Regions from separate parts of the Mus musculus genome. Here all the other regions are reported to be linked to region 1. Evidence: microRNA targets listed by miRTarBase, many of them from high-throughput screens and not tested one by one. Region 1 holds a microRNA gene; each other region holds the end of a gene's coding sequence.
The links. The annotated mature microRNA mmu-miR-717 reads CUCAGACAGAGAUACCUUCUCU and lies in region 1 at 2,563-2,584, opposite strand. An mRNA with a match to its seed (bases 2 to 7 or 8) in the 3' UTR can be bound and repressed. Matches are read on the target gene's strand: a 7mer-m8 pairs with bases 2 to 8, a 7mer-A1 pairs with bases 2 to 7 and ends in A, and an 8mer does both.

Region 2: miRTarBase lists N6amt1 as a target of mmu-miR-717. Seed matches in the 3' UTR shown: 8mer at 2,551-2,558.
Region 3: miRTarBase lists Trim43b as a target of mmu-miR-717. Seed matches in the 3' UTR shown: 8mer at 3,139-3,146.
Region 4: miRTarBase lists Phkg1 as a target of mmu-miR-717. Seed matches in the 3' UTR shown: 8mer at 1,644-1,651.
Region 5: miRTarBase lists Lcmt2 as a target of mmu-miR-717. Seed matches in the 3' UTR shown: 8mer at 1,895-1,902.
Region 6: miRTarBase lists Ankfy1 as a target of mmu-miR-717. Seed matches in the 3' UTR shown: 8mer at 2,422-2,429 and 7mer-A1 at 877-883.
Region 7: miRTarBase lists Klhl7 as a target of mmu-miR-717. Seed matches in the 3' UTR shown: 8mer at 2,136-2,143.

The regions. Positions count from the first base shown.
Region 1 is chrX:52,419,899-52,423,898 of GRCm38, forward strand. Mir717 (microRNA 717) reads right to left here and starts at 2,617; the gene lies at 2,509-2,617. All of the region lies in intron 3 of Gpc3 (glypican 3), which reads right to left.
Region 2 is chr16:87,366,741-87,370,998 of GRCm38, reverse strand. N6amt1 (N-6 adenine-specific DNA methyltransferase 1 (putative)) reads right to left here. Exons shown (of 6, transcript NM_026366.2): 6 at 2,350-3,534. The coding sequence ends at 3,428. Among named protein-coding and RNA genes, the nearest start is that of N6amt1, 15 kb to the right of the region's middle.
Region 3 is chr9:89,081,553-89,085,810 of GRCm38, forward strand. Trim43b (tripartite motif-containing 43B) reads right to left here. Exons shown (of 7, transcript NM_001170884.1): 7 at 3,072-4,164. The coding sequence ends at 3,692. Among named protein-coding and RNA genes, the nearest start is that of Gm40542, 3.8 kb to the right of the region's middle.
Region 4 is chr5:129,860,868-129,865,125 of GRCm38, reverse strand. Phkg1 (phosphorylase kinase gamma 1) reads left to right here. Exons shown (of 10, transcript NM_011079.3): 9 at 26-151; 10 at 437-1,695. The coding sequence ends at 685. Sumf2 (sulfatase modifying factor 2) reads right to left here. Exons shown (of 9, transcript NM_026445.2): 9 at 1,175-2,487. The coding sequence ends at 2,403. Among named protein-coding and RNA genes, the nearest start is that of Sumf2, 16 kb to the right of the region's middle.
Region 5 is chr2:121,134,977-121,139,234 of GRCm38, reverse strand. Lcmt2 (leucine carboxyl methyltransferase 2) reads left to right here. Exons shown (of 1, transcript NM_177846.3): 1 at 1-1,943. The coding sequence ends at 695. Gm23858 (a small nuclear RNA gene) reads left to right here and starts at 3,939; the gene lies at 3,939-4,044.
Region 6 is chr11:72,766,910-72,771,167 of GRCm38, reverse strand. Ankfy1 (ankyrin repeat and FYVE domain containing 1) reads right to left here. Exons shown (of 25, transcript NM_009671.5): 25 at 1-3,655. The coding sequence ends at 3,523. It overlaps Gm46287 (a long non-coding RNA gene), which reads right to left. Exons shown (of 4, transcript XR_001780259.1): 4 at 3,662-4,053. Among named protein-coding and RNA genes, the nearest start is that of Gm46287, 4.2 kb to the right of the region's middle.
Region 7 is chr5:24,159,059-24,163,316 of GRCm38, reverse strand. It overlaps Klhl7 (kelch-like 7), which reads right to left. Exons shown (of 11, transcript NM_026448.3): 11 at 2,086-3,870. The coding sequence ends at 3,587. Among named protein-coding and RNA genes, the nearest start is that of Nupl2, 3.8 kb to the left of the region's middle.

The DNA of each region.
Region 1 (4,000 bases):
TTGCGGAATCATGCACATCCCAAAGGGACATTGTTGAAAGGATATGATGAAATCTGTACTTTCACAGAAACAAAACTCACTTGTTTTACCCCATTGATAGCTACCCCCACAACACACACACACACACAACACAGAAGAACAGAAAACAGGAAGGACCACAGCACTGCTCAGCACTCAGCCAGGCTGGGCTGCTGAGAAGGACGAGGTTGCACTTGGTCTCCAGAAGGCCGCAGCACACTGGATGATTCTGCTGCAGACTCACCTCCTGTTGGCTCTGTAGCTTTTTTTTTTTTTTTTTTTTTTTAACTGAAGCATTGCAATTGCTCACTCCCTTAAGGAAATGACTCATCTACTGTCCTACCTGTTTAAAACCAGCTTCCAGGATGGCCAGAATTGTTCAGTTTTCCAATTTTGAGGGTGGGGGTGGGGGGATGAGGCTTGCCTTTTGGAGAAGAGAGTTAAGGTAGAAAGAACTTTGGCCTGAATACCTGAGCAAGATAGCAAAAAACGCACAGACCTAAGAGGTTAATGGGCCAAGGTACCTTGTGTAGGGGATGGGGTGGGGGGGCATCATTAGTGAATGACTGGCACTCCATTTGCCAAGACAGACTTTAACTCCAGGCAAAGGAAAAGGCATAGCAGAGGAACCACACTGTGAATTCTGAGGCTTTTCGGCTTTTGTAATGAATAAATATCCAGAGGCTATTCTGCTTTCATAATGTAAAGGCTGCTTTCACCAGCCTCTGACTCCCTGAGCAGCCAGCATTTGAAATAGGCAGTTTGTACTCATTCATTGTCACCCTGGGAGCACATGGGTCCTTATAATGTTGGGCCATGGGGGTATCTTTCTTAACTTCTGCTCTCTTGGGCAAAGGGCCTTGAATTATCCACCCTTACTGAATATCCTTTGAGAATAAATCCGTTCTCCCTGTCACTACCAGGAGACATGGATAAGTGTCAGCTAACTACCCTGTGGTTATCACATCTGCCACCTTTTAAGTGCAATAAAAGAAATAACTTCCCCAGCTTGTGTAGCAATAGAAAACTTATAACACTGTATCCTCAAAAAACAGGATAGGAAAAGATAACTGCAGAGAGAGAGAGAGAGAGAGGGAGAGAGAGAGAGAGAGAGAGAGAGAGAGAGAGAGAGAGAGAGAGAGGGAGAGAGAGAGAGAGAGAGCTGGAAGATCAAAGCAATAGAGTTTTACTGCTAATGAGAAGCAACAATATCAAGTGCTCCTTTAGAAAGGTTTTGTATTCTCTGAATGGCTAACACTGTCACTAGTTTAGGTGTTTGTGTGTACCTTTGGCTATGCTCCAACAGGCAGCACATAAGCTGCCTTATGGCTAACCAGACAAAGTTGAACTAGTTGTTCTTTAGTTTCTATCTCCTTGGTTTGATCCTCCAAAGGCATCAAGAACTTTTGAGGGTCTTGTCATCATCCAAAGGTAGCAATAAATGGAAACATTGACCACTGTTTGCTGCAAACTATCTCTTCCAAGTATCTTTATGTAGTGTCTGTGTAGCTTGGATGCTACAGTGTCTCCACTCAGAGAAGTGAGCACTAGCAGTGATGGGAAATAAGTTACCCAGGTTCAATGTTGAGAATCTAGCCATTAGACCAAGAGATCACGCTCTTGCTTGGTTTTATTCTTGTAGTGCTAAGGATACATTTGAGTTCTCTAGGCTGAAAATGCTCTCTAGTAAAGCACCGCATTGCATTTGCAGGTGTTATCCAGCCCTCTCTGCCTTGCCCCATGGCAACTGAGGCTAGGGAATTAGACACAAATGCTGATCCTCTGGTTACCGCCATTGCTGTGAGAAATCAATGGTTCTGCCCTTAACTCATGCCTTTAACTGGCTTCCGTAAAATGGCAGTTGACCGACGTATTAGCTTGTAACTGAGGAGAAATCCCAGACTTTCCACAGTTGTTGAGAGCATATTCTCATCTTATCAGTTCATTGATCATGGAAAAGAGATTTAGAAACATATTCCCGAAGACAGCACGAAAGAGCAACTCTCATCATCACGCTGTCCCTCACCTAGGTGAAGGCAAACAATGCTAGATTTGCAGAGAGCCTATTTTATTGCCTAAAGTAATGTAAAATCTGCATGGTTACATCAGGATGAAACATTCAAAAGCTTTCTTCATATGATTAGTTTTGGAAAGTTCCTGTGAAATTAACACTCAATAGCGTCAATTCTTCCTTGTAGTCAGTCTTTCAATAATTAGGTCATCTATGTTTAACCTTTCTCAGGCTGAGACAGTAGGACCATATGTTCAGTGCCAGTCTGTGAAAGAATCCTCAAAACAGAACAAGAGACCAAATCACCACCTTTGTCCGATAGCAACCACTAACACTATTTTTATTGTGAATGTTAAAAAAAAAAAGATGACAGAATGTAAATTTTCTGTCATGTCTGAAACGAACCTCATTTGAATAATATTGCTTATTGCAGTTTCCGATGCTGGCCTGCAGACACTAATGAGGTACTGAGATAGTTGCTGGATTTATCACTTCTGAATCCCTTCGGAACGGAGAGCAGCTTCTATGAATTCAGAGAAGGTATCTCTGTCTGAGACTGAAAAATGACGGTACAGTGATAGCGGACAAGGAGAGAAGCTCGGACAAACTGACATCTGAGAAATGGCCTCAGCCTTCAAAGGCAGAGACGAAAGGTAAGGCTAATCTTGGAAATTCTGATGACTTACAGTCACTCACACAGACAGCAAAATGCACGAATTTGACAGTGAATTATTATTGCAGCTCAAAGGGAGAATCTGCCTCCAAGCTTCCTACCATCCATGATTAAATACTGACTGTATTGCTTCTTCAAACATTGTAGCCAAAGAAATGGGTGTGCCCAGATATTGGCATAGGTTAGGCTTTCAGTAGACAAAGTTACTACCTAAGGAAAGACCAAAGTAGACGTCTGAATATAATTCGATATTCAGGATAAATACCAGATAGCGTGAAAACTGTCTTTGAGGCTAGCTGGTGATTCAGCTCTGTGTCGGAGCAAACACTTAACATGCACAAGGCCCTGAGTTCCATCGCTGCAAAAACCAAGATGGCTCTCTGTTGTTCCAGTGGGTGGGGACTCAACAGTGCAAGTGGAATTTAATAGAGTTTTCAACATTGACAACACTAACAGGTAGAGCTTATACAAATATTCTCTTAGAAACTATTCTGTTCCTTTAAGTGTTAGGAATAGGAAAAGAGAAAAGGGGAAAAAAAACAACCTCATGTCTTTTAGTTCTTCATTGGGAAATAGTAGAGCAAGAGTCTCCATGGAGAGAGAATGAATTCAAAAATTGATTGTGCAGCTGGAAAAACAGTAGGGAGTAATACAGGATATTAAATAATATAATAAAAAACCAATTTAGGCTGTGTTTGGGGAACGAAGATTCTAGTGAATAGAGAATGGAAGTGTTTGAGAGAGCAATATAGAGTCATGGTAACAAGCAAGAACTTGGGAGTCAGACAGGCCCAGCTCTGAATCTGAGTTCTGAGACCTGCTGGCTTAGTGACCCCCTAAATGGAGCAAAAGAATCTTCTATGCTCAGCTTCCCTACCCTCTTGATGATGCTCAGTGTCCAGCACATGGCTTGCATGATGAAATGTGTAATAGACATTTGCAGAAACTCTTCCAGGGAGTTCCAAAGTGAGTCACAATGACAGAAGAAAGGGAGAAAGGGTGGTGATACAAAGAAATTTTGTACAACTTTCAGTGAAACGGTCTAAGTCAAGGTAGTAAAATTGTGGTCCAGGAAACCCTAACCCAGGGGCATGCTAAGGAGAGTCAGCAAAGTACACTAGCAAATATGGAAAAAGAAAACTGCCAGCAGCCAAGCAAGAGGGTAAGAGCGTGAACTTAATAGAGAGCAGGGTGGGTTAGGTGGGAGGAAAGGGAAGGGAGAAATGCTGTAATTAAATTACATTCTTGGAAATAAACAACAACAAAAGAGTATATGAGCAATTCTATTGTGGACTAAA
Region 2 (4,258 bases), not on the chromosome of region 1:
GATGTGTCAGATGTCAGTATAAATCAGAACCCTAAAGTAGTCTCTAATGTCTGTGAAGGGATAGACTTCCCAGTAAGAGCAAAGAGCTGAAGCTTCCTCCTATGTCCTATATATAGGCAGCCAGCAGAAGGTGTGGTCCAGGTTAGAGGCGGATCGTCCCATCTCAGATCCACATTAAAGATGGGTCTTCTCACTTCAAATGGTTTAACTAAGACAAACCCCTCACATGCACACATGCACTTGGAGTTGACTTCATTCCAGATGGAGCCTAGTTGACTACAAAGTGTAGCCACCACAACACTTTATAAAGTGTTCCTCTCAGACAGCTCTTCTACTCTCCCCAAATTCTTACCTTACAGTCTCATAATCCAACTGCTCTTTATACTGTTTCAAACTAGAGGTAAAAGAAATATCTGCGATAGAATCCTCCAGGATCTTTATATAGAGAGACCCGTCTTTCCATTTTGCAAATATTCCTTTCAAAAGGTCTTATTCAGGAAGGGTGTTCATCTGTCGCTGGTACTTTTGGTTTAGCTTCTGTGTGAACTTTAAGGACTCCTTCGAGTAATAGCAAGGCATCCTGTAATTTATGTCTGTGAAACCCAGATTCAGTAGGTTACTAAGAAACAACTTAGTCCCACTGAGATAGCATACAGAGTAAATGGGCTTAACTGCGTCATTTTCGTATGTGTCGCTCCAGCATGTCCCATCGCACCTTTCTCGGCATGAGCTGGAAGACAGAGATGCTGTTTCTCTGCACAGCAGTCTGGTAAACAGAAGGCATGCCAAGGAAAGACTCGGGTTTCTCAAGAGTTCCTATCTATAACACTATAGAGTCGGTATGCATCTAGCTGAGCCCACACTGTTGTCCTTCCCACCACAGGGTTTGGGACAAAGACAGACTGACAGAGGTGAGGCCATTGTTCATCCTAATTGCTGTAGTATAATAACTCCTGCTCTTCAGGAGCCTGATTTTGCTGGCCAGCATTGAAATTGTACCTGACTAATGTAGGTTGCAGGCAAGGGAAAATTTGCGGACCTGTATGTCTCTTGACAGTTTCGTGGTATAGTTTCCCCTTAATGCTGCTTGTGAGAGCCAACAGGGTTTCACCTAATCGGCCAGTCCCCAACTCTGGCACACTGGCAGCATTTCCATAGAACCTAGAAGCAAGACTAGAAGTTAGAAACGGATGTTCCTGAATCCCTCAGCCTCACCTACAACCTACTACGTCCATACCCACACCCGGGCTGCCGTGTAAGCTGTTCTGGCACTCTGGCCATGTGGCTAGCAGAGCCAGGGGTTGGTGTTGGAGGTTGTGATGGCAGAGATGGGTTCCATACCGGACATCTGGCAGGCCCTATGGTAATCTGCAGTTGCAGGCCTTTTGGATTCTGGAGCAAGGCCCTGCTAATATCACAACTGTTCTTGTTTTAAGTGACAGTCTTTGGCCTGGCACTGTATCTTGGCAGATCTCAATATAGAATATTGATCACCAAGTTATCCTGACCCTGGTTAGCTCTATCATGAACTCTATATTGGAATTCTTATCAATTTTATTATTCGAAAATTACATACATGTACGCAGTGTCTTGATCACGTTCCCCCATCACCTTCCTCTCTTCTCCTCTGCAACTTCATGCCTTAATTTTGAAATTATAGAGAGAGAGAGCTGGAGAGGGAGCTCCTTGGTTAACAGCACTCCTGCTCTGAGAGGCCCTGAGTCTGCTTTATGGCGCTCTGTTGTGTTCTCACAACCTTCTCTAACTCCAGTTCTAGAGCATCTGACACCTTCTTCTGGGCTCCTGCGGTACTGGCCCACTGTGGCATGTATTCACCCCCACATCTTTAAAAAATTATGTCTGTGTATATAGTATTAACTCTGAGTCAAGGTAGTGCTGGGTACAGTATCATTATCCATTGGGGGGGTAGGCAATGCACGAGTAGCCACTCCTAAAAGTGATAGAGGAGGAAGGTGGTCACGATCCTTGCAAATGATCATCTAAGCTTCCCTCCATAGGAGGCTGGACTTTTAGATGACATCACTAGCCTGAGGTGGGCCTTCATAAGTAACTGAGGGAAAGGGGCCTTCCTGATGAACCCCTGGGAGCATCAGCAAGTGGCGTTATGCTGTTCACAGAGTGAAAGCTCACCTTTACACTGTCTGCAGTTAAGTTCTTACCATGCGGACTGTGATAGTCCATGGACAGTCCAATATTACCACCAGGTAAAACAGACGCTACACAAAGGCTGAAGTTCTTTTATTCCTGTAGTTTATTCCCCTTTATTCCCCCCCCCCCCCAATCTTTGTTATATACACACAGCGATACACTGCTTTGGCTGGCTTTTCAAAATAGCGTGTATGGGATGAAATTCAGCTCCAGCCTCTTAGCACTCAGTTGTCCTGGTCACCAAAAAGCCTCGGGTGCAGGATCTACACAGTGCCTTGTTTCATGGCTACATGTTCAGTGGAATGGATTCAATGAGATTTTATTTTACTTTATTTATTCTTTAAAGGTTTATTTATTGTATATGAGCACACTGTAGCTGTCTTCAGACACACCAAAAGAGGGCATTGGCTCTCATTACAGATAGCTGTGAGCCACCATGTGGTTGCTGGGAATTGAACTCAGGACCTCTGGAAGAGCAGTCAGTGCTCTTAACCATTGAGCCATCTCTCCAGCCCTAGGCTGAGATTTTAACCAGTGTCCTTTCTGGTGGACATTTAGGGTAATTAAATTGCTTTGCTATATTATAGCTAAGGCTAAATCAAACGTGCCTTCATATATAAATATATAAAATATGGTATACATATAATACATATTTACTTGCACTTGCACAGAAAAACTCATATGTTGATTCTCTGAAAACAAAATGACCCAGCTTTCTATCTTTTTCTTTTCTTCTTGTTAGGTTTATTTTGTTTTTGTGTATGGATATTTTGCCTGCAGTATGTATGCATGTCATTCTGACCTCCAAAGGTACAGGTCAGAATAGGGCAGGATCCCTTGTGAACTACCCTACCATGTGGGTGCTGAGAACTGAGCCCCAATCCTTTGTACTAGCGGTCAGTGTCTCAGCCTCTGAGCCATCTATCCATTCAGCCCTCACGGGTTTCTTGCCTTTTCTTTTCACTTTGGTTTGGTTGGTTTTAGGTTTTTGAGACAGGGTTTCTCTGTGCAGCCCTGACTGTCCTGGAACTCACTCTGCATTTCGGCTGGCCTTGAATTCAGGGATTCTCCGCCTCTGTCTCCAGAGTGCTGGAATTAGAGGTGTGTGCCACCACCACCTGGCTCCACTTTTTTTTTTTTTTTTAAATGACAGATTTCTAATAAAATTTCTTGGCCAGGCAATGGCATCAGTCTGAAACCTACTGAGCGATTGTTCAGCTGCCGGCAGCTCTTGTTTACTTCTGTGGCTTTCAGGACACTAGGACTTGCTGAACCTGAGGACTGACAGGGCTTCTTGGCCTGCTTGCCTGCAAAGTGCTGTGGTCCCTTGCAGACCTCTTGTCTTCATTGTTTTAAAGATTTCCTCTAAAATGAAAAATAAAAGTAAAATTCAATTAAATCATTTGGTGATATCCATGATCACTGAGCAATTTAGTAGGAAGATAAACACAAAAAATTCCTCTGATTAAACAGTGTAAGCCAGGCAAATGTTTGTTACCTCAAGCTTGGACCTGGGAGATCTGGGACACAACTTTATGAAGGTCCGAGGATTCTGACAGACGTAAGGGCCTAGTTTTTTGGTTTTTTTTTTTTAAGATTTATTTATCTATATGAGTACACTGTTGCTATCTTCAGATACACAAAAAGAGGGCATCAGATACAATTACAGATTGTTGTGAGCCACTATGTGGTTGCTGGGAATTGAACTCGGGACCTCTGGAAGAGCAGTCAATGAGCCATCTCTCCAGCCCTCAAGGGCCTAGTTTGTAGTGCTAGCCCACTTCCGACTACACAGAATCATTATGTAACCTTGTTATTATAACAGGTGATCAAGTTTTAGCTGGTTGGTGTCAGTCTCTACCATATATTCTTTATGGGAAAGGTCAATGAAAATTTGGACGAGCTGAATCCTAACAGTGTCCAGAGTATAAATGAATTCACTTCTTTTGAAAATAAAACCAGAGGCCCGAGCGATGACTTGGTGGTTAAGAGCACTTACGGCTCTTGCAGAGGATCTGGGTTCATGTCCCAGTACCCGCATGACACCTCACAACCACCTCTAACTACATTTAGAATCCAATGCTTTCTT
Region 3 (4,258 bases), not on the chromosome of region 1:
GTGGAACACGCCTTTAATCCCAGCACTCGGTAGGCAGAGGCAGGCAGATTTCTGAGTTCGAGGCCAGCCTGGTCTACAGAATGAGTTCCAGGACAGCCAGGGCTACACAGAAACCATGTCTTGAAAAACCAAAAAAAAAAAAAAAAAAAAAAAAAAAATCTAGTAAAAAGTAAAATCCCTGGAATCTACAAAGGTGACCCCAGAGACCACTCCCAGTAATGGAGGATACAGAGCCTGAACCAGCCATATTCTATAACCAAGTGACTTACAGTGGTAGGGTTGCAACATGAACACAGCTAATGCCCTTAGACCTACAACCTATCCTGCCAGAAAGATGTGCTGGGGCAATGAAGGAGAACTAATGTGGCCAACTAATGAGTGGTCTAATTCGAAGCCCACAAGAGAGGAAGCCCATGCCCAACACTGCCTGGATCATCAAGAACTGGAGTCTGGATAGCCAAGGACCTAGGGTAGGAAAAATAAGTCAATGAAATGATCCCTAGTGGTATTCTGCTATACTCAAAGATTGAGGCCTAGTTCAATAGTCATCAGAGACACTTTCCCTAGAAGCTGATTAGAACCAATGTAAAGACTGACAGCCATGCATGAGATGTAGAGAGAGCCCAAATTGGAGCACTCCATTAGGTCCCTCCCCTCAGAGATCTAGGAACCCCATGGAAGAAGGGGGAGGAAGAATTATAAGAGTCAGTGGGGTCAGAGACACTAGGATAATACAGCAAACAGAAGCAACTAAATAAGGGTCCTGGGGGTTCACAGAGACTGAAGCAGCAACCCTGGAACATTGGTATGTGCTTAAGTTATATCTGCATGTTATGGTTTTTGGTTGGTTGGTTTTTTGAGACAGGGTTTCTCTGTATAGCCCTGGCTGTCCTGGAACTCAACTGTATAGACTCAGAAATCTGCCTGCCTTTGCCTCCCAAGTGCTGGGATTAAAGGCACCACTGCCCGGCATGTTATGGTTTTTAGCTTGGAGTTTTTGTAGGACTAGTAACAGTGAAGTAGATATCTGGCTCTTGTCTGCTCTTGAGACCCATTTCCTCCTACTGGGTTGCCTTACCCAGGCTTGGACTGGGAGAAATGAAAGGAGAAGCTATGATCTGACAGTATTATAAGAATAAATTTTAAAATGTATATACATGAGCTTTGTGTTTTACCTTATTAGATATGAGTTCAAAAGAACCACAATAGTTAAATAGGAAAGGATTTATACTCTATATGCTCTAAATGTGGCCAAGGTGAAGGCCATTTGCCCACAAAAGTACATTTGAGGAGCTTGGGCCTGGACATAAGCCACAGAGCTGCCCTGACTGCTAAACTGATTTGCTTTTTAGCTCTCATTTATTAATTTAAGGCAATTTCATATATTGTATATGCACCCATGGGCCCTCCTTCAAATCCCTCTTCCTTGTGTGCCTATTTAGAAGCAGATGTTCTGGTGCTCTGGCTCTTAGGATGTATCTGCCTCTTCCACAAGGTTTCCTGAGGGTTACATGAGCTGTTATATTGTCAATGCATCAAGTGAGGTTTTATGACTGGAATGTAAACTTTCCAGAAATTGGGGGATTTAGAAATTCTCCAGAATCCTGTACATGATATAAATGCAACCCCAACATTTGCTTTCTCTTTTTCTAATAAAAAAATGAGAAAAAACAAAACACCTCATCCCCTTTGAGCTTAATGCTTCTATGTTTTGTGATCTTATTGAACTGCATGCCTGGTGCTAAGTAGTAGTCGCATGGCATTTCTTATGTCTACTGTGTTCTTAGTCTTTTCTAAAATATTTGCAATATGCTTCCTAAAGGAGCAACCTAAGTTCTCATGTCTCTGCACAGTCCTTGGTGTAATATTCTGGTCAGAGCCTAGGTGTCACAGAAGTCAAATGGTCAATGGAGTCAAATCTTATGTTGGGATATTAAGAAGTATAACTTTATGCCTTTCGAAGCAACATGAGAAAGCAGAGGGAACTAGACTGGCTAACCAAAAAAATTTGAGGCTTCATTTCTGAAAGTCTAGAATCATGAAAGAAAATGGCCTTGGATGGGCATTACAATCTACTTCTCTCAGTGTTCTCAGGTGCACACGACCCTCTTTTTTTAAGATTTATTTATTATATGTGTGTACACTGTAGCTGTCTTCAGATACTGAAGAAGAGGGCATCAGAATTTTTTTTACGGATGGTTGTGAGCCACCATGTGGTTGCTGGGATTTGAACTCATGACCTTTGGAAGAGCAGTCGGTGCTCTTAACCGCTGGGCCATCTCACCAGCCCCACACACGACCCTCTTGCAAATGACCAAGGAGGGGTTTCCAGAAGAGAGAACCTGTTGAATGTCAAAAGACATTTGTGTGCTCTCTGAGACTGGAAGAATATTCAATATTTAAAGCTGTTTTATGTTGGAGACAATTAAAGTTTTTTCAAGTGTGTCCCCAACATAAAACAGGTTTAAAATAAAGGACGTGAAAGAGGGGGAAACTCACTTTCCTTTTTTTCAGGAAAAAAAAATCCCTCTCTGAACGATGAGAGCCTGTTTGTTGTTGTTGTTCTATCCCAGTTGGTAAATAATTATTTGTTTAGATCAAATAGGGATTCAAGCTTTTATTGATCAACAAATCTGCCTACAGTAGATCTCTGTGCCTCTGCCTGACGTCATTAACTTAGAATCACACAGATACAGAATATTTAAATGGTGCTGGAACTCTGGGAACTCTGCATCCTGAGTTCTAGGTCTACACTAGATCCAAGATTCTAATTAGTAATTCTCACAAATATGCAAAAACAAAAAGCAATAACTACTTTGAAAGTAAATGTTTGGCCTGGTGAGATGGCTCAGCAGGTAAGGGCACACTGACTGCTCTTCCAGAGGTCCTGAGTTCAAATCCCAGCAACCACATGGTGACTCACAACCATCCATAGTGAGATATGACGCCCTCTTCTGGTGTCTAAAGACAGCTGCAATGTACTTACACATAATAAATAAAATATTTTTAAAAAAGTAAATGTTCTAGGAGGAACAGGTGGACCACAGATAAGAAGCAGTCACCCATCTTTTACATTTAATATCATTTTATATTTTTTAAATTTATTTATTTATTATATGTAAGTACACTGTAGCTGTCTTCAGACACACCAGAAGAGGACATCAGATCTCATTACAGATGGGTGTGAGCCACCATGTGGTTGTGGGGATTTGAACACAGGACCTTCAGAAGAACAGTCCCTTAACCAAGAGTCAGTGCTCTTAACCTCTGAGCCATCTCTCCATCCCTTAATATCATTTTAACATGTCTTAGTTAGGGTTTTACTGCTATTAACAGACACCATGACCAAGGCAAGTCTTATAAAGGACAACATTTAATTAGAGCTGGCCTTCAGGTTTAGAGGTTCAATCCATTATCAAAGTGGGATCATGGCAATATCTAGGTAGGCATGGTAAAGACCCAGATGAGAGTTCTACATCTTCATCTGAACGCTGCTAGTGGAAGACTGACTTCCACACAGCTAAGATGAGAGTCTTAAAGCTCACACCCACAGTGACTCACCAACTCCAACCGGGCCACACATTCTAATAGTGCCACTCCCCTGGCCAAGCATACACAAACCATCACAATAAAGAGGGGACACATTATCATAGAAGTACTAGAAAAGCACTAGCATACTGGATTCCTATGATTATGTGTAGACAGCAGAGAAGAAAGGCCTGACAGCACAATGGAAAGTTCCAGGAGAGTAGCTGAGTATGAGGGAACTCTTGGCTACATCCACGAAACTTACATATCCACCCTCACAATCAAGGAACACGCCAACTTGGCCAACTGGCTTCTCTATATAGTGTTCACCTCCTATGCGGGTGATGAGAATGTAATGATCGTCCTTTCTCAAACACTCAAGAAATAGATCTGTGGGTGTCGCCACATAGCTTCTCCCCCTTAACCAGGGATCCTTACAGACTCCTACAGTCCACCGCCTATAGTCCTTCAAATCCACCTCCCAGTAGTATTTTCCCCTGGAGAAGCTCTTTTTTCCCCAGGAAACACGATGGGTTTCAGCTGAATCCAGAGATGTGCTTTCATGGAGAAGTCTGATATCAAAAGGTCTGAGTGAGGTGTAGCCGAACATGATTGAATGTTTAAAGGAAATCTTCACTGTGGGAAGAAAAGCCAACATTTTAGTTAAACCAACTGTTTACAGTTGTCAGGTGAATGAGGTCCCTAGAGATTTCCTGGTTTTAAAAATAGA
Region 4 (4,258 bases), not on the chromosome of region 1:
TCTCAGGTCCCTTATGTTCTCCCAGGTGTCTCGATTCTTGGTGGTGCAACCTCAGGACCGCTGCTCGGCGGAAGAGGCCTTGGCACACCCTTTCTTTCAGGAGTACGTAGTAGAAGAAGTACGGCACTTCAGCCCCCGAGGGAAGTTCAAGGTACTGAAATTTAACCTTCCCTAAGGCTCTTGGGGGAGGCTGCTGTTGGCTCCTGCTGGCACCAGGCTCTCAGAGCTTTAAGCTATGAGGGAATGCCTTGTACCCACTGTTCCAATTCAATTTCTGGTTGCAGGGGATGTCAGCTAACCGACCCTGTTACCTAAATCCCTACAGATGCTTGTAGCCTGGGAATAGGGGACATCATGAAGGGCACCCCCAAAGCCAGCTAAGGTTTCCCGACAAGCTTTGCTGCGGGCTGAGGGTTCTAAGTGCTGCCCCCTGCAGGTGATCTGTCTAACTGTGCTGGCATCAGTAAAGATCTACTACCAGTACCGTCGGGTGAAGCCGGTAACCAGGGAGATCGTCATCCGAGACCCCTACGCCCTTCGGCCGCTGCGGAGGCTCATTGACGCCTATGCTTTCCGTATCTACGGCCACTGGGTGAAGAAAGGGCAACAGCAGAACAGAGCCGCCCTCTTCGAGAACACGCCCAAGGCTGTGCTCCTCTCCTTGGCTGAGGAGGAGGACTTCTGAAGGGCAGCGGGGGCCCAGGGGAAAGCAGACAGAGGGACTTGTGAGAAGAGGATGCCCCAAGTAGCCTTCTGCAAAGGAATAGGTGGCCCTACTCTGTGCTCTCAAAGGCTTGCCTCTAGAAGCACAGGGTGTTCCCAGTAAACAGCAGTAATTACAGCTGGAGCTGGATGTGCTGTGGCATGTGCCTGTTGCCCCGAGACAGTAGGATCACGGGTTCTAGCCCAGCCCGGGAAGTCTAGTGATGCTTATTTCAAAATAAAAATGAGGCTGGGAATGTAACCCTGTGGTGAGTGTAAGGTCTCCAAATTCAACCTCTGGTACAGCTAAAATAGATAATAAATAAATAAATAATAAATCCAACGCAGCTGAGACCGTGATAGGCAGAAATGGAAGGGCATAGAGCACATGTATTCTGGGAGCTATAAGCCTTCTGGCTTCTCTACTGTGCACCTTTGTTGATGTCTATAGTTTTCTTGTTTTTTTTTTTAAGATTTATGCATTTTATGTATGTTTTAGCTGCATGCATTTTATGTAACCCACATGCATGCAGTACCTGTAGAGGTCACAAGAAGGCATCAGAAACCCTGAAACTGGAGTTGTATAGATAGCTGAGCCCACCTTGTGGGTGGTAGGAATTGAACCCCTCCTCAGCAAGAACAGGCGCTCATAACTGTCTAGCTAAAGTTATGGATATTTGAGGAAGTGAAAGCAGGAGTTCAAGGTCATTTGTGGCTACACAAGGAGCTTGAGGCTAGCCTGGGCTACATGAAACCCTATCTCAAACAACAATTATATTGTGCTTCCTGATATACATAAGAATTTATTGACCTCGGGCTGGTGTGATGGCTCAGTGGGTAAGAGTACCCGACTGCTCTTCCAAAGGTCCAGTGTTCAAGTCCCAGCAACCACATGGTGGCTCACAACCATCCGTAACGAGATCTGATGCCCTCTTCTGGTGTGTCTGAAGACAGCTACAGTGTACTTACATATAATAAATAAATAAATCTTAAAAAAAAAAAAGGATTTATTGACCTCATAAGATCCAGTTCTTCTTCAGGGACATGTCTGCAGGATACACAGAAGGCCCTACATGATTAGCTAACTCTCAGAGAAGGTTCTGGCATTTGTCTTCCTAGAGGGGCACTGACTTTGGTTCTCCCACAATGCACATCTTCACTTCATAAATCATTTGCTTTACTGGGGCTTTTAAATAGTGGGCGTGGTGTGTAATCCCAGCAGGACCCAGGAAGCTGAGGTAGGAGGATCGAGAGTTCGAGACCAGCCTTGCCACATATTGAGTATCTCGTTTCAGAGGCCAGCGAGGCTAGGTTCTGGCAGCAAGGCTTTGGCACACCTCACAAAGGAAGCATTTTCCTTCTGCAGAATTTCCCAGAAGTGAAAGCTGAACCAGCCAGGGAGAAAGCAAAAAGGGAGAGAGTTTAAAAAATGTCATCTTTTGGACACTGGAGGGTTTGGTTCCTTTGTCCTTAATACTGCACTTAAGAGACAGCCCAGCTCCCAGCCTTGGTCATCCAGGTCCTCATCTTCCAGGCTACTGCAGTCCCTTCTTGCAGTCCGAGTGTTCTTTGTGTCTGTCAGAGGGGAGGGGCTCAAAAGGCCACCCTCAGACGCATGAGCTTGGTAGCCAGCTGCCTCTGGAACATGGTCACGGAGGTACAGTGCTGAGAGGGTGCTTCGGAGATCTCGGTCTGGCTGCTCACAGGTCCTCCTTCGGTCGGCCTGCACTGGAGGCGCAGCGGAAGCCCAGGTTGTCTGAGGCTGAGTCTGGAGTGTTTCCCATCCTGGATGGAGAAGGAAGAGAGGTGCATACTGCTGGGGGTGGGGATCTGTCGAGAAGAGAGGAGCTGTAGTGGTCTGAATGAGAATGGCCTGAATGCTTAGTCATCAGGGAGTGGAACTGTTTTAGAAGGGTTGGGAGGTGTGGCCTTGTTGGAGGAACTATCACAAGGGATTAGCTTTGAGGTTTCAAAAACCCATGAGAGGCCCAGGCAGGGTCTCTGACTGCCTGCTGCCTGTGGGTCAGGATGTGAAGCTCGCAAGTACCCCTCCAGCTCCACCATGTTCTGCTTCCTACCATGATGGCCATGGACTAGCCCTCTGAAACTGTAAGCAATCCCATTAAATGCTTGCTTTCGTAAGAGTTGCCTTGGTCGTGGCGTCTTTTCACAGCAACTGAATCATAACCAACATGATTGGTCTGAGGTCAAGTCCAGCAAGTGTGCCTGCCACTAGGGGGAAGGGGACAGAGTCGGGCGGTGGGTGGCCACAAAGGATTGCAATAGAGGGTGATCTTAGTGACCACTCTAAGTTTAGCAGAACAGCTCAGCACAGCTGCACGGCACGTGATGGCTATTCTTGGTCGTCACCTCAACTGCATCTGGAATTAACTAAAACTCAGAAATGGAGGGGTATACCTGTGAGGATTTTTGCTCAACTTGAAGTAGGAAGACCCACTTCTTTTTTTTTTTTCTTTAAAGATTTATTTATTTATTATATGTAAGTACACTGAAGCTGTCTTCAGACACACCAGAAGAGGGCATCAAATCTCATTACGGATGGTTGTGAGCCACCATGTGGTTGCTGGGAATTGAACTCAGGACCTCTGGAAGAGCAGCCAGTGCTCTTATCCACTGAGCCATCTCTCCGGCCCAATCCAGATCTTTTGAGGCGGGCCTTTACTCTGGGCCACACCTTCTGCTGGAAGAAGGAAACTTTCCCTCTTTGCCTGCTTGCTTTCACCTTGTGTAGTGGCTGTTCCTGGTTGTCAATTTGACAATATCTGGGATGAACTACCATTCAGAAATGGAGGGCTCACCTGTGATCCAGATCTTGAGGCTGGAAGACACAAGTTTCTAACCTGGATCTTGGTACAGAGATTTTGAGACATAATGGCCACGAAAAGCTTAGGCCCAGGCAAGGTAGTACATGCCTTTAATCCCAGGAGACTAAGGGCAAGGAGATCTCTGGCAGCCTGGGACAAAACAAGTCCCGGATCCAGGAGTGGTGGATCCTTTAATCTGGGCCACACCTTCTACTGGAGACCTTCATGAGGACATTGGAAGAAGAGCCGCTCCTCTTCTTCTGCTTGCACTTACTTGCCAGCACATCTGTTGGACTCTACTTCTACAGAAGACCAGCTGAAACAACTAGCCTCGTGGGACTGAGCAACTACTAGATTCTTGGACTCTCCATTCACAGTTGACCATTGTTGGGGAGTTAAGACTACGGACTGTAAGTCATCATAATAAATTTCCTCAGTATAAGAGATATTCCATAAGTTCTGTGACCCTGAGGAATACACCTTGCTAATAAGTCCATTCCTTCAGTGCCATTAGGGCTTACTTCTTTGGGATTCCAGCATCTACTGAAGACCAGCTGAGACATCCAGCCTCATGGACTAAACAATTACTGGTTTCTCGTACCATCCATTCATAAGCAGCCACTGTTGGCTTAGCTGGATCACAGCCTGTGTAAGTCATTCCAATAAATCCCCTTTCTATACATAGAGAGGAACGCATTCTGTAAGTTCTGTTATGCTAGAGAACCCTGACT
Region 5 (4,258 bases), not on the chromosome of region 1:
ATAATTGCTCTGAGGGCCAAAATGTAACAGTAACGAAGGCTGCCTTGGAAGAAGGTTCAGTGTTGTCATGTTGGCGGCATTCAACAACGGAAGTATACTATCAGAATCAAAGATACTTATTTGTGTATGGTGGCCGAAGTGTGGCTGAACCTGTACTAAGTGACTGTCGTTTTCTACATGTAGAGACAATGGCTTGGGTCAGAATCCCAGTACAAGGCGCATCACCCGAAGGTCGGCATTCCCATAGCGCCTGCAGTTGGCAAGGGGGAGCACTTATCGCTGGAGGTCTTGGGGCTTCTGAGGAACTGTTGAGCTCTGTACTCTTTCTCAAACCAGTGTCCTCTGGATTCCTCTGGGAATCAATAGATATCCAGCCCTCCATTACCCCAAGGTACTCTCACACGGCTCATGTGTTTAATGGAAAGCTGCTTCTGGTTGGAGGGGTCTGGATTCATTCCTCCTCAGTTCCTGGAGTGACTGTTATCTGTTTGACTACAGGGTTGAGCTCTGAATATCAGATTGACACAGCGTCTGTGCCATGGCCATTAATGCTGCACAACCACAGCAGCGCCCTCCTTCCTGAAGAGCAGCAGCTCCTGCTTATTGGAGGTGGAGGGAACTGCTTTTCCTTTGGTACTTATTTCAACCCCCACACAGTGGCATTAGACCTTTCTTCCTTACGTTCAGGGCAATAAAGAATGGACTTGATATATTTAGGACCTAAGGGTGAATTTGTTGTATTGCCACACTCCCAACACACACACCTTTCTTCCTTACCACACCATTGAGCAGAGACCATAAAAATGATGATTAAAATACAGACCAGCAGTAAGTATAAAAATAAAGCATCAAAAGAGTGGCATACATCCTAGGGGCCTCAGCATCATGTGAAGAGTTTTCTGGGGTTCTATCAGTTTTCCAGTCTCAGCTCTAACAAGGAACCAGCACAACTCCTAGGTCTGAGGACCTATTATTTATTGAGTCACAACAACCTTTAGCCTAAGTAAAAAAAACAAAAACGAAAAACATTCCCAAACCTGGGTCTGTGACCTAGATTATATTTTGGAAAAAGTTTCACACAGGTCATGGTAAAAATCCACAGCTGAGTATAGTTCAGGAATGTAGTGTTGACCTGTTGGCTATGGGCAAACAGTCTAAAATGAACACTGCAGTTTAAAGACTCGTGCTTTTAGTTTGAACACTGAACTTTAACAGTGAGAAAAAGTACAACTTAGATATTATGCTTTTGATCACTTTTTTGCTAATGTTTTATATTTATCTAGCTTTATAAGTGCTAATAAACCAGACATTTAATGCCTTAATTTTGTACCTTCTATAATGAATAATGTTTGTTCCTGTCAGCCGGACACTGTTCTAAACCCCCAAGCAGCTTAGATAGGCAGCATCAGTCCACAAGTCAGATAAGTACTGTACTATGCTAAACTATACTATATACAAGTACTATAAGAAGGGGATGTGTGTTGGGGGGGGCTGGGGAGCAGGAAGTGAGCCACAGTAGTTGTGCTTTTCCTCTGTCAGTCTACAGGTTGATATTGTGCATTCTACCAAAGCCATAGGCGCTGGCATGTAACCTATGTGGTAAGATAGAACACTAATACTACATTGCTGCATTGCTTAAGGTTTTAGGAGTTGTTCCTTTTCCTTGCCCTCTTAAGAGTTGTGCTGGCTCCTTGTTAGAGCTGAGCTGCATTACGCAATATACTTTTAATTACTTTTCTTGCTTTACTGTGAAGAAATAACATGACCGGGCTGGTGAGATGGCTCAGTGGGTAAGAGCACCCGACTGCTCTTCTGAAGGTCCAGAGTTCAAATCCCAGCAACCACATGGTGGCTCACAACCATCCCTAACAAGATCTGGCGCCCTCTTCTGGAGTGTCTGAAGACAGCTACAGTGTACTTACATATAATAAATAAATAAATCTAAAAAAAAAAAAAAAAGATTTAAAAAAGAAACAGCATGACCAAGGCAACTTAAGGAAAGGTTTATTTGGGCTTTTGGTTCCAGAGATAGACCATCCTGGTGTGGTGGCTAGAAGCAAGAACGCTGAAAACTCACATCCTTTACCACGAGCATAGAACGGCAACCTACAAGCAGGGAGAGGCATTAAGCACTTCGCCCCCATCCCCCAGCCTCATTCCCACCAAGTGACATGTTTCCTTTAGGAAAGACACATACATCTTCCCAGACAGTACCACCATCTAGGGACCAAGTCTTCAAATTCATGAGCCAGTATGGGGAATTCTCATTCAAACCACCACAAGTAGCAATTAGCAACTTGTGAAAATTTAAAGGCATTAAAGAATGTTGGATTGTAGTGTATCTTATAATCTACAGCCATTAGACTCCCCTCAGATATCCCTTAAGTGATTAGACAATCTGTCTATTAAGTTTTGAAGATAGTAATGACATTTCTTAAGTTTTGAGACCTAGTCATGTAAGTTGTGTATAACATGAGCTTCATAACTTAGTGGTAGTGGGTAGAACTGTTACACTAGTACAATCCTGGTTACAGTTGCATCTTGAGATTCTGTAAGTATACAACTGATTATTATTATCCATTAATCTTCTTAGTGGACTTCATGACATACAGTTCCTTTTCTCTAATTTTTTTATGACTTTGCACATAAAATGGATGTGAAGGGTAGTTAATATAAAAACTGACTAGGGTTGTAGATTAACATAAACTTTCCCGAGACTTTATAATGGCCCTTTCTGGAAAATTCATTGGTTATAGCATGAGTCTTAGAATACAGGGCAGCATCCAGCAAGGCTCTCAGTGGGCCAAGTGCTAGATAATTGACTGCAGCATGATAGATATGTTTCTTTTTGTGAGTTTACTACAGCCTACCTCCAGCTTTCAGGAGCAGGTCCAAGGAGACCGTTTGCTCCCAACTGTGTAGCAGATAGTACAGGAAGTTTAATGAGACCTCACTATAAACTCATTTCATTCAGCAATCATTATAATTTCATTACTGTGGGTATAAAAAGGTAAAGGGAGGTCATCAAGAGAATGTTGGCGTATGCCAGACCCAAATCAGTGCAGCAGGTCCTATTATGCCAGGCAGCCCATTATGAGTAATTGGGCCCAGACTTGTTCCTTCAAGAGAACTAACTTGTGTTTTCTGGAAGTAGTTATAAGATTTAGCATGCCTTCCAACTTTAACCCTATTTTTGCAACATGCTTAGTTAAATTATCTCTTAAAACTCTCCCTAATTAGAACATATAGAAAAACTTTCCCAGAGCAGCATTCTGCATGTACTGGTTAGTTTTATTAATGGCAGTCTGCAGCAGTTGGTGAAATTGGAAGAGTACTTTTGATTCTTTATTGTAATTTTGAGTATTTTTGTTCTAAAATTCTACTATCAGGCTTTGGTATAGTTTTGAGAGGTTTTTTGTTTTTTGTTTTATTTATTTATTTTATGTATATGAGTACGCTGTCACTGTCTTCAGACACACCAGAAGAGGGCATTGAATCCCATTACAGATGGTTGTGAGCCACCATGTGGTTGCTGGGAATTGAACTCTGGACCTCTGGAAGAGCAGCCAGTGCTCTTAACCGCTGAGCCATCTCTCCAGCCCTTGAGAGTTATTTTTAGTGATTGTCTTCTCTCTTTTCATGATTTTTTTCTTTCTAGGCCAGAAAAAATTATTAAGGAAAGAGAAGAATCTTTCCTCTGGGTCTCATAAGCAGTGCATCCTATTAGCATAAGAGAACAAGTTGTGGGACTGCTGAGATGGCTCAGCAGTTAAAGAGCACTGGCTGCTCTTCCAGAGGACCCAAGTTTGACTCATAGCACCCATATGGAGGCTCACAACCACTGGTAATCCCATTTCCCAGGGATCCAGTGCCCTCTTCTGGCCTCCAAAGGCATCAGGCACACGTGTGGTGCACAGATATACAAGTGGGCAAAACACATTTACATTTGGCAACACATCTGCTAACATTGGAATGATACAGTGAAGATAAGCCTGGGTCCCGTGCAAGGATGACATAAAAACCCAAGAAACAACAAAGAACACACAAAGCCCACATTGGTTCTTGGATATGAACTGCCCTTCAGAGGCTAAGCTAACACTTCTCTGACTGCCCTCAGTTTTTCAACCAAATATCCACTGTTGAGAGCCAGGCTAATCCAATGCTTTTCTCCAAGGCCCTAATGAAAGGACAACAGGAACCTAGCTCCATGACATTGTCCAAGAACAGACTTTGCAAAGTCAATTTAGGGCTGATGGCC
Region 6 (4,258 bases), not on the chromosome of region 1:
ATATTTGAAAAATACATTCCATTACACAGAATCCAAAGAAACAATGCTGCTAAGCCTTAGCCATGGTCCCAGCTGATGCGGTCATCCCACACTGAGCAGCACCAGAGCAGTTTGAGAGCCAAAGTGGTCTATACAAACACGTGCCTGCAGTTATGGCCCAGCTGCTGCCACCTTGTCCTTGGTACCATAAGATATCATGGAACGCCCAGTTCCACACAGCTGCCAAACTGGCAAGTCAGTAAGTCCAGCAGTCCCCAGACTCCCTCACTGTGGAAAACCAATGTTGTCGGTTGTAAGAGTTAATACATTATTTATTCCACACAAGAGGCAATGATCCTCCCGAGAAAAGTCTTTAAGGCATCTATGACATCTGGGAATTTTATATTTAGTTAGCTGGTTTTTCACTATATCAGTTCTGTATAGTGAGCATAGCTCAGAGGCCTTTGCTGAGCTGCTTCCTCTGCTGGGCTGGCAGGGGAGCTCTGGAGCTTCAGGTGGCTCTAGGGGCTGATCCTGAGGGAAGCCAGCATCTGTGAGGGAGACATTTACATGCTGCTGTTGCTTCCTCTCCTAAGCATTTGGCAGTTCAGCCACTTTTTCTCTTCTCCAGGTAAGGAAATCCTAGATGGGGGCCTGTCTTCCACCCCTTGCCTGCAAACAAGACTAGTACAGGAACGGTTCAGTATGGGGGATGGGCGCAAATTGGGCGGGGTGGTGAGATTCCACACACCCAGCTTCATGAAAGACCCACTCAAGGAGAGGGAGGAAGCTGATGGGTAGTCAGAAACAACTCATGGTTCTGAGGTAGAGGACAGAAACATCATGTGGACCCCACTCCTTGGAGAGAATATGGCAGATGAACTGAGCAGTCTAATATTCAGACTGGACTGAATTGGCTACTGGGGTGGAATAGGCCCGAAACTCGTGTTCTAACACATCACTGAGTGAGACACCAATGAAAAGACAACTGGAAACAAGGGAGTCCTCAGTGTAGGCACTTAAGCTTGTGGGACATTGCTGTGTTAGAAGATCATAGCAAACTAGTGTAAGCACATGGTCTGTACCTCTATCTTTAAAACCTTAATGATACACTGTACAGCAGTCATGATGAACAAGAGGCAGGTAAAAAGCTAGGTGAGTATAGCAGTGTTAACTGATGCAGCAATTATGTTTCAGTAAACTTGATTCTTCCTGATTGGCTCATTCACAACCAACAACTTTTTGAATGAATAAATGAAGTTTTGCTGCTAGTTCTTAAGGTAGTGATAAGACCGAACAAGAACAGGTAAGCAATTTCATGGTGAAATCTGGTCAGCATGGAGAGAGCACAGGAGAGACACACAGTAAGTCTGGTCCTGGCCAGGGCAGTGTACAGCAGGAGGGCAGCACAGTGAGCATGGCATGGTCTGGGGGATTGCGGCTGTGGAAGAAAGCCTGAGCCACATCTACAGCATGGCTACCAATGCTCAAGTCACACAGCCCCGTCAGCCACGGGGATGACTACAATGACCTCTGAAGGAACAGAAGCTTGAACCTACATATGCTTTAGGCATCATCTGCAAATTGTAAGTACAGTTATAGGCAAGGTTGTTACTGAAACTGGTGTGGTAGGGCAAGGACACAATGATCAGCGTCATCCTGCTTCCCTATGTGCCCTTTCCACCCTGGTTCATAACCATACCATTCCTACCTTTCCCACTAAAGAACCACGGTAACAACCTAACTCTAGGTCTTCGTGGCCCTTTTTAGGCAATAAAACCTGGAAACTGACTACATGCTCCTATAGTTGTTGGCCAAGACTGATTAAATGTTTCCATAAAGATTATATATGAAGTAAGTCACAGGCTGGGGGACAATGGCACTCCTCCAAGTAACTCTTCCTTTTAAACACTGTGTACAAGCTAATGTTAACATAAAAAGCATACATATAAATCACAGAAATATTTTTAGAAAGTAGCACACTGGTTTCTCAGCACATTTTATACATATTTAGGCAGTAAGATGTCTAACTCTACAGCAACAGAGAGCATACCACTATCCAAGGAAGAAAGTGATGCCAAAAGAAGTCCCTTTTATTCATACAGCCATACTCTATTAACGCAAGTATCGTAGGGTTATCAAATGTCTCAAAAAAATCAGTGCGAGTGATTGACAGTTAAGCTCTGACTATGACCAGATACTGTTCATCTCAGAGTCTCAGAGCAATTGTGGTTTTGTTTCTTAAAAACAAACAGAAAACCCAGTGGTGTAAGTTTCTCTTTCAGTGTGCAATATAATAAAATGAAAAAATTAAAATTCCCAAACAGAAACAACCCAAAACACTGGCCAAACTTTAAGAAGAAAGAGGCCCCGCATCCCAGGGGTAGAACAGGCGGCAGCAGCAGGAACCAAAGACCTATGCTTCGTAGCCTCGCTCATCATTTCAGACAGAGCTCTAAAACAGGCTGCTCATAGCTGGCCGGGGCCTTGGGCTGTTCAGCTCTGATGAGGCACAGCGCCACCCAGAACTGGTGCCACTAGCACTCAGCATGCAAGGCAAGGTTTTAGCAGGAAGGATGTGTCAGGGAGAGAGAACCTGGATCAAAGTCACAGCTATCTCCTTTCTTATCAGTATGAATTTCTTCCTTCTTGGCAGTTTTCCCTTTTAGATTAGTGTGTGCTGAGGTCCAGTCCAAGCTGGCTATCAGAACCACTGATGGAAGAGCATGTGATGGCATTCTTGAACATGGGTTTTTGAATTGGATTCACCAATGACACAGCTAGAAAAGTGCAGCACAGTCAAAGTGCATTTCTTCCACCACTCAAGTGGCAGCGACCGAGGACTCCAAAGACAGGACGCAGCAAGACGAGAGATGAGACAGCTGCTGGGTGTCAAGCTGCCACAGGCATTCTGACGCCCAGCAGCAGCAACATTGGTAAAGCTTTCAGTTGTTAAGGCCACAATTTTTCAGCTCTCATCTTTGAACCCTGTTAGAAAGATTTCACCTTTTTAAAAGGGCAGCTCACTAAAAATACAGCTTAGCTTAAAGAAAGAAAAGACTTGAGGGCAGAGGTTCCTATTCTCTTTATGAAAACACTGTGCATGAGAGGCCAGAGCCTCTTAGGGTAGCCACCGCCCTAGAGTGACCAGCGCTCATCCAGCAGCCGCTCTCTGCTCTGAGGGCTCTGTTCTGAGTCAGCCCAGGCAGGGAGACTTTGTGAATTCTCTGAGATGGACGCTACGTTACTGGAAGGGAACATTGTCTCCAAGTGTCCTTGTGTGCTGCTAGCCAATTCCTATCACATTTGTCACGCAGGTTAAACTGGCCTGGTCCAACCAGTGAGACATCTAGTGCAATAGACCACAGTCTGACACACTGACAGTCATACAGAATCATTTGTAACAATCAGGGATCACGCCATGGTCTTCTGCCGCAGGAAGACAACTGCCAGCTCTTGCTCTGGGTAGGAGGCAGGCCGGTGAGCAGAGCAGCTGCTGGGGAGGTGCCAGGGATGCAGGCCTGGGTCCTCCTGGGGGCCTCACTAAGAGACTCCACCCAGAGTCAGTACATCAAAGCAAATGTTGCAAACCCGCACAGGCTTGTTCAGGTCAAACTTTATAATAGGGATCTCCTTGGTTGAGCATTTATGGCAAAGAAGACGGCCGCAGTGACGACTGTGGAGACAAATAAAGAAGTGTGAGAGGCACTGAAAAGCAGACTGGTTCTAAATGGTCAGCCCGGTCTCTGGCATCTGCAGCCAACTCTGCCAACTACCAGCCAAGTCACACCAAGTCACACAATTTTTAGTTCTTAAGAAAATACTAATGAGTAGCTAAGCTACAGCAAACAGGAAGAAGTTAAGCACAGACGCTGTGTAGTCCTTGGCACCCGCTGAGGCAGTGATGAACCTTCGCCCCCAAGAAAGTGGTAAGTCTGAATGTTCCTCCTTCCTCTACTCTCCCTTCACACTGGGACCCCACTCAGTCAGTCCTATCATCTCCCCACTCAGTCAGTCCTATCATCTCCCCACTCAGTCAGTCCCATCATCTCCCCACTCAGTCAGTCCTATCATCTCCCCACTCAGTCAGTCCTATCACCTCCCCACTCAGTCAGTCCCATCACCTCCCCACTCAGTCAGTCCTATCACCTCCCCACTCAGTCAGTCCAATCATCTCCCCACTCAGTCAGTCCAATCATCTCCCCACTCAGTCAGTCCTATCACCTCCCCACTCAGTCAGTCCTATCACCTCCCCACTCAGTCAGTCCTATCACCTCCC
Region 7 (4,258 bases), not on the chromosome of region 1:
AAATGCCTCATGACTCAAACATTTTCATGACACTATAATGACAAGTTTTAAAAACTAGACCACAGAGCCACAGTTACTGTTATAATATGGAACAAGTTTTGTCTACTAAACATTCATACTCAAATTGTGATTCTCAAAAGTAAAACCCATGTATCATCAAAATAAAGCACTTCAAAGGACAGAACACTGACAAACCCAGTATCTACTGAAATGAAAGCAGAGTACATTATAGGAAAGGAACTTTTTGAAAAAGTAATGAAATGTACTTTATATACAAAGAAATTTGAATACAAAGCAATTTGTATATGAAGTAATATACTTTGAATAGTTTACTTTTACCCATTATCCTTTAGAATTGTGAATGATAGTTCTGGTTTGGGGGAAGACGTGTTCTTATTAGGAACATGATACAGGTTATTAGGAGTAAAGGAACTTTATAGAAAGCTTTATAAAATGTTATGTGTTCTAGTTAATCAGCAGCCTAAAAAGAACAGCTAATATAGTCAAAATATTTTAACAGTGCTGCCTATTCTACAGGGGTAACTGCTCTATCAGTGTGATTACAGTGTAATAAATGAGTATTTTGTCATCAGAAAATTTAGCTATGTTAACAATTTTTCTCATGTTTTCCTGCATGTATGCATGTGCTTCATTGTGTGCCTGGTACTTGAGGTAGCTAGAAAGAGGGCACTGAATCCCCCTAAACTAGAGTTGTAGATGATCGTGAGCCTCCGAGTGGATGCAAAGGACCACACCCAGGTCCTTCTGCAAGATACAGTGCCACCTCTCCAGCTTCAAATAGCCACATTTTTTTTTTTCGTTTTTTCGAGACAGGGTTTCTCTGTGTAGCCCTAAGCTGTCCTGGAACTCACTCTGTAGACCAGGCTGGCCTCGAACTCAGAAATCCGCCTGCCTCTGCCTCCCAAGTGCTGGGATTAAAGGCGTGTGCCACCACTGCCCAGCTCAAATAGCCACATTTTAAAATAGTGCAAATTTCAACATCTTACATAAAAATATTTACAACAGTCAGAGACTGAGAAGCCAGATTGAATCAGTTTGAGCCAGAACAGCTAAGTTGAACCAGCCAGAGTATAGAAAGAGCTAGAAAGGGTGAGCTTGTTCAGCAGTAAGTCTCAAAAGATGAAAACATTCTAGGCCTAGATAAGATTGTATGGAGGCTGGAAGCTTCCAGGACCTCACCTAGGTTAGCAGACAGAGGCAGTGAGCCTGAGATGACAATTACATCAAGTGAATAAAAGATCATTTTACAGTCTAGAGGTGGAGGTTGTCTAAGGCTGGAGTTTGTAAGAGTGTACTGGGTTAAATAGTGTTCCTCACAAAATTCCTATCTATCCAGAACTCCAGAATGCATTTCTACTTGAAAACAGGATCTTTGCAGATGTAAGTGGTTTAAGACAAAGTACTAGAATCCTTCTGATGTGGTGGTGCATACTTTTAGTCACAGCATTTAGAAAGCAGAGGGTGGGTATCTTAACTCCAGGCCAGCGGGGGATGGCTCCAAGGTTAAGGGCACTAGCTGTTCTTCTAAGTACCTGGGTTCAGTTTCTAGAACCCACGTGGTGGTTCACAACCAGATTCGGGAGATCTGACCCCATTTTCTGACTTCTGTGGGCACCAGGCATACAGATGGTATATATTCATTCATATGTAAGTTAAAAAAAAGAATGGTTCAAATAAATGCTATTTACAAAAGAACTAAGTGAAAATAGTTACACAAGAGAAAGAAATGACCATGAGAAGATGAAGGTGTAAGACTGCAGTGCAGCTCTAGGTATAAACTAAGAAGTAAATGTCAAGGACTACTGGCAACCAGCAGCAGGGGTGGGAATGGGGTGTGTGGCGGTTTTGCCCAATCCTCCAAAAGCCAGATTTGAGACATCTGGCCTCCTAAACAGTGAAAATATATTGGTTGGTTTAATCCATTAAGCAAGCAGTAGTTTGTAGCAGTGTAGCAAGCTAGCACATGGGAATAGGAGTGACTACAGTAAGTACAGGGCTTCTTTCGGAGGAGTTATGAAAACACTTGAAAAATACAATGATGACTGTACACAGTGCATATAAACATACTTTTTAAAAAAGATTTATTTATTATATGTAAGTACACTGTAGTTGTCTTCAGACACTCCAGAAGAGGGCGTCAGGTCTTGTTACGGATGGTTATGAGCCACCATGTGGTTGCTGGGAATTGAACTCAGGACCTTTGGAAGAGCAGTCAGTGCTCATAACTACTGAGCCATCTCACCAGCCCCGCATATAGACATACTAAAAGCCACTACATTAGTACAGTTTAAATGGGTGAACTGTATGCTTATGAATTACATCTCAATAAAGCTGTCTATACATAAGAACTTGACAGATAAATCCTGTCACTTTTCAACTTCACTTTTAATTTAAACATTTTAGAGTCTGTTCTAACTTCCATTCAGAGAAAAATTTTAAATGGAAACTTTCACAAATTTAAGAAATATTAATGAACACACGTAGAATGAATAAACAAAGCAAATCTATTTAAGTTAAAAATATTTAATATCAGATAAAAACATTGATTGACAGTTTAACATGGCACATTTCATACATAGTCAAAGGGCAAAACATTACTGAGAAAAATTAATAGGCCGTTTGGTAATTTGTTGTCCACATAAAAGCAATGAATAATGATATACTTAATGCCAATTATTACAAAACTTTTAGAGAAAACTCAGTTACCTCTAACATGTTCTGCTAGGAGAAAAGAAAACTGTATTTTTTAAAATCCATATGCTACTGGGCTACAATTATCAGTGCTTTTCTAGTAATCTAGAAATTTCTTCCAACAGCTTTTCTTCTGTTGGTCAATCGTTCCTACTGATTGGCTCTCGCATAGAGAATGAGGACATAGAGTGCTTTTTACACTGCTGAGTAAAACCATATGAATTAATGATGGGTGCTAAGCTTAATATTTTATACAAAAATGTATAATATTTCATTTAATTGGACTGAATATATTATTTCATGAGTAACTGGGTACAGTTAAGTCCCAAAAATCTGAGAAGTTTTGTGAGAAAGTGTGTATGTTTAAGCCATTTTTGCTTACTTTAAAATGGAATAATTTGGCACTAAATGAAATAATGAAGACAAGCAAAATACATAACACTATTACAGTTACTCTATCAGAGTTTACCATCTCCGACTATAATTCATACGATTACTTAGTTCTTGACCAAACAGAAACAAAAAGCCCTAACTACACAGCACTTACACAATTAGGAAAATAGAATCTAGAGCTAAGCTGGGGCTCTTTCTCTGATGAGCATGCCCCACTCTGCCACAATCAGTTATATATTTGCAATTCACGTTTTCAAGAAGTGCTTGTAACTTTTCACGTTTTCTGGCTGATAGGTTCTTGGATGGCCAAATAAAATATGATCTTTGAATTAAGTAAGGAGATCCAGATAATATAAACTGTTATCTTATTGGAATCTTACTTTATCAAAATACCAGATCAGAACTTCATAACCGAACTCTTGGAATAAACCACTGGTGGCCATATCTCTAAGTTTCAGATGAGTGGAAGTCCATTCACCATTCATGTTTCAAGGGTCTCTTCATTTGCTCCACAAGTATCAACAACACAAATTAGACAACTTGTGACTGGGAAAGCCCGGACTTTTGAGTTGGCGATCCACTTATCTGTTTCAGTATTATACTCAAGGATATGCCCCAATCTGCCTACACCCTGAAAACCTGCCAGGACATAGATGACAGAGCCAACTGCTGCACACTTCACCGTGACACCCCTCCATGGCATCGGTGACACCATCTTCCATTCATTTAACTTGATATCGTAATATTCCACATTGTCCAGACCACCTTCAAAAGAACAACATATGAGAACTTTATTTTATTAGTGATTGCTGGATCTCTTCATAGTTTCTAAAAGTTTTATATTTTAGTTTCAAAATAAAATTGTTAACCACATAGAAAGGATATAAGAGCTTTATGATCATTACCCACACGCCCACTACCTAAATATTTATTCTTGAGAAATTTTCAGAAATATTTTTTCTACAAAGTAAAAAAAACAAACAACAACAACAACAACAAAATAAACCCTACACATTTCCTACAAATGTTCCATCCTGGAAAAGAAAATTAAAAAGTATCAGTGATTTGCTTTGATTATAAATTATTTCAAATGTTTTTCTATCTTTTAGCAATTTATGAAAAATACCAGTGAATGAGAATAACAGAAAAGAAG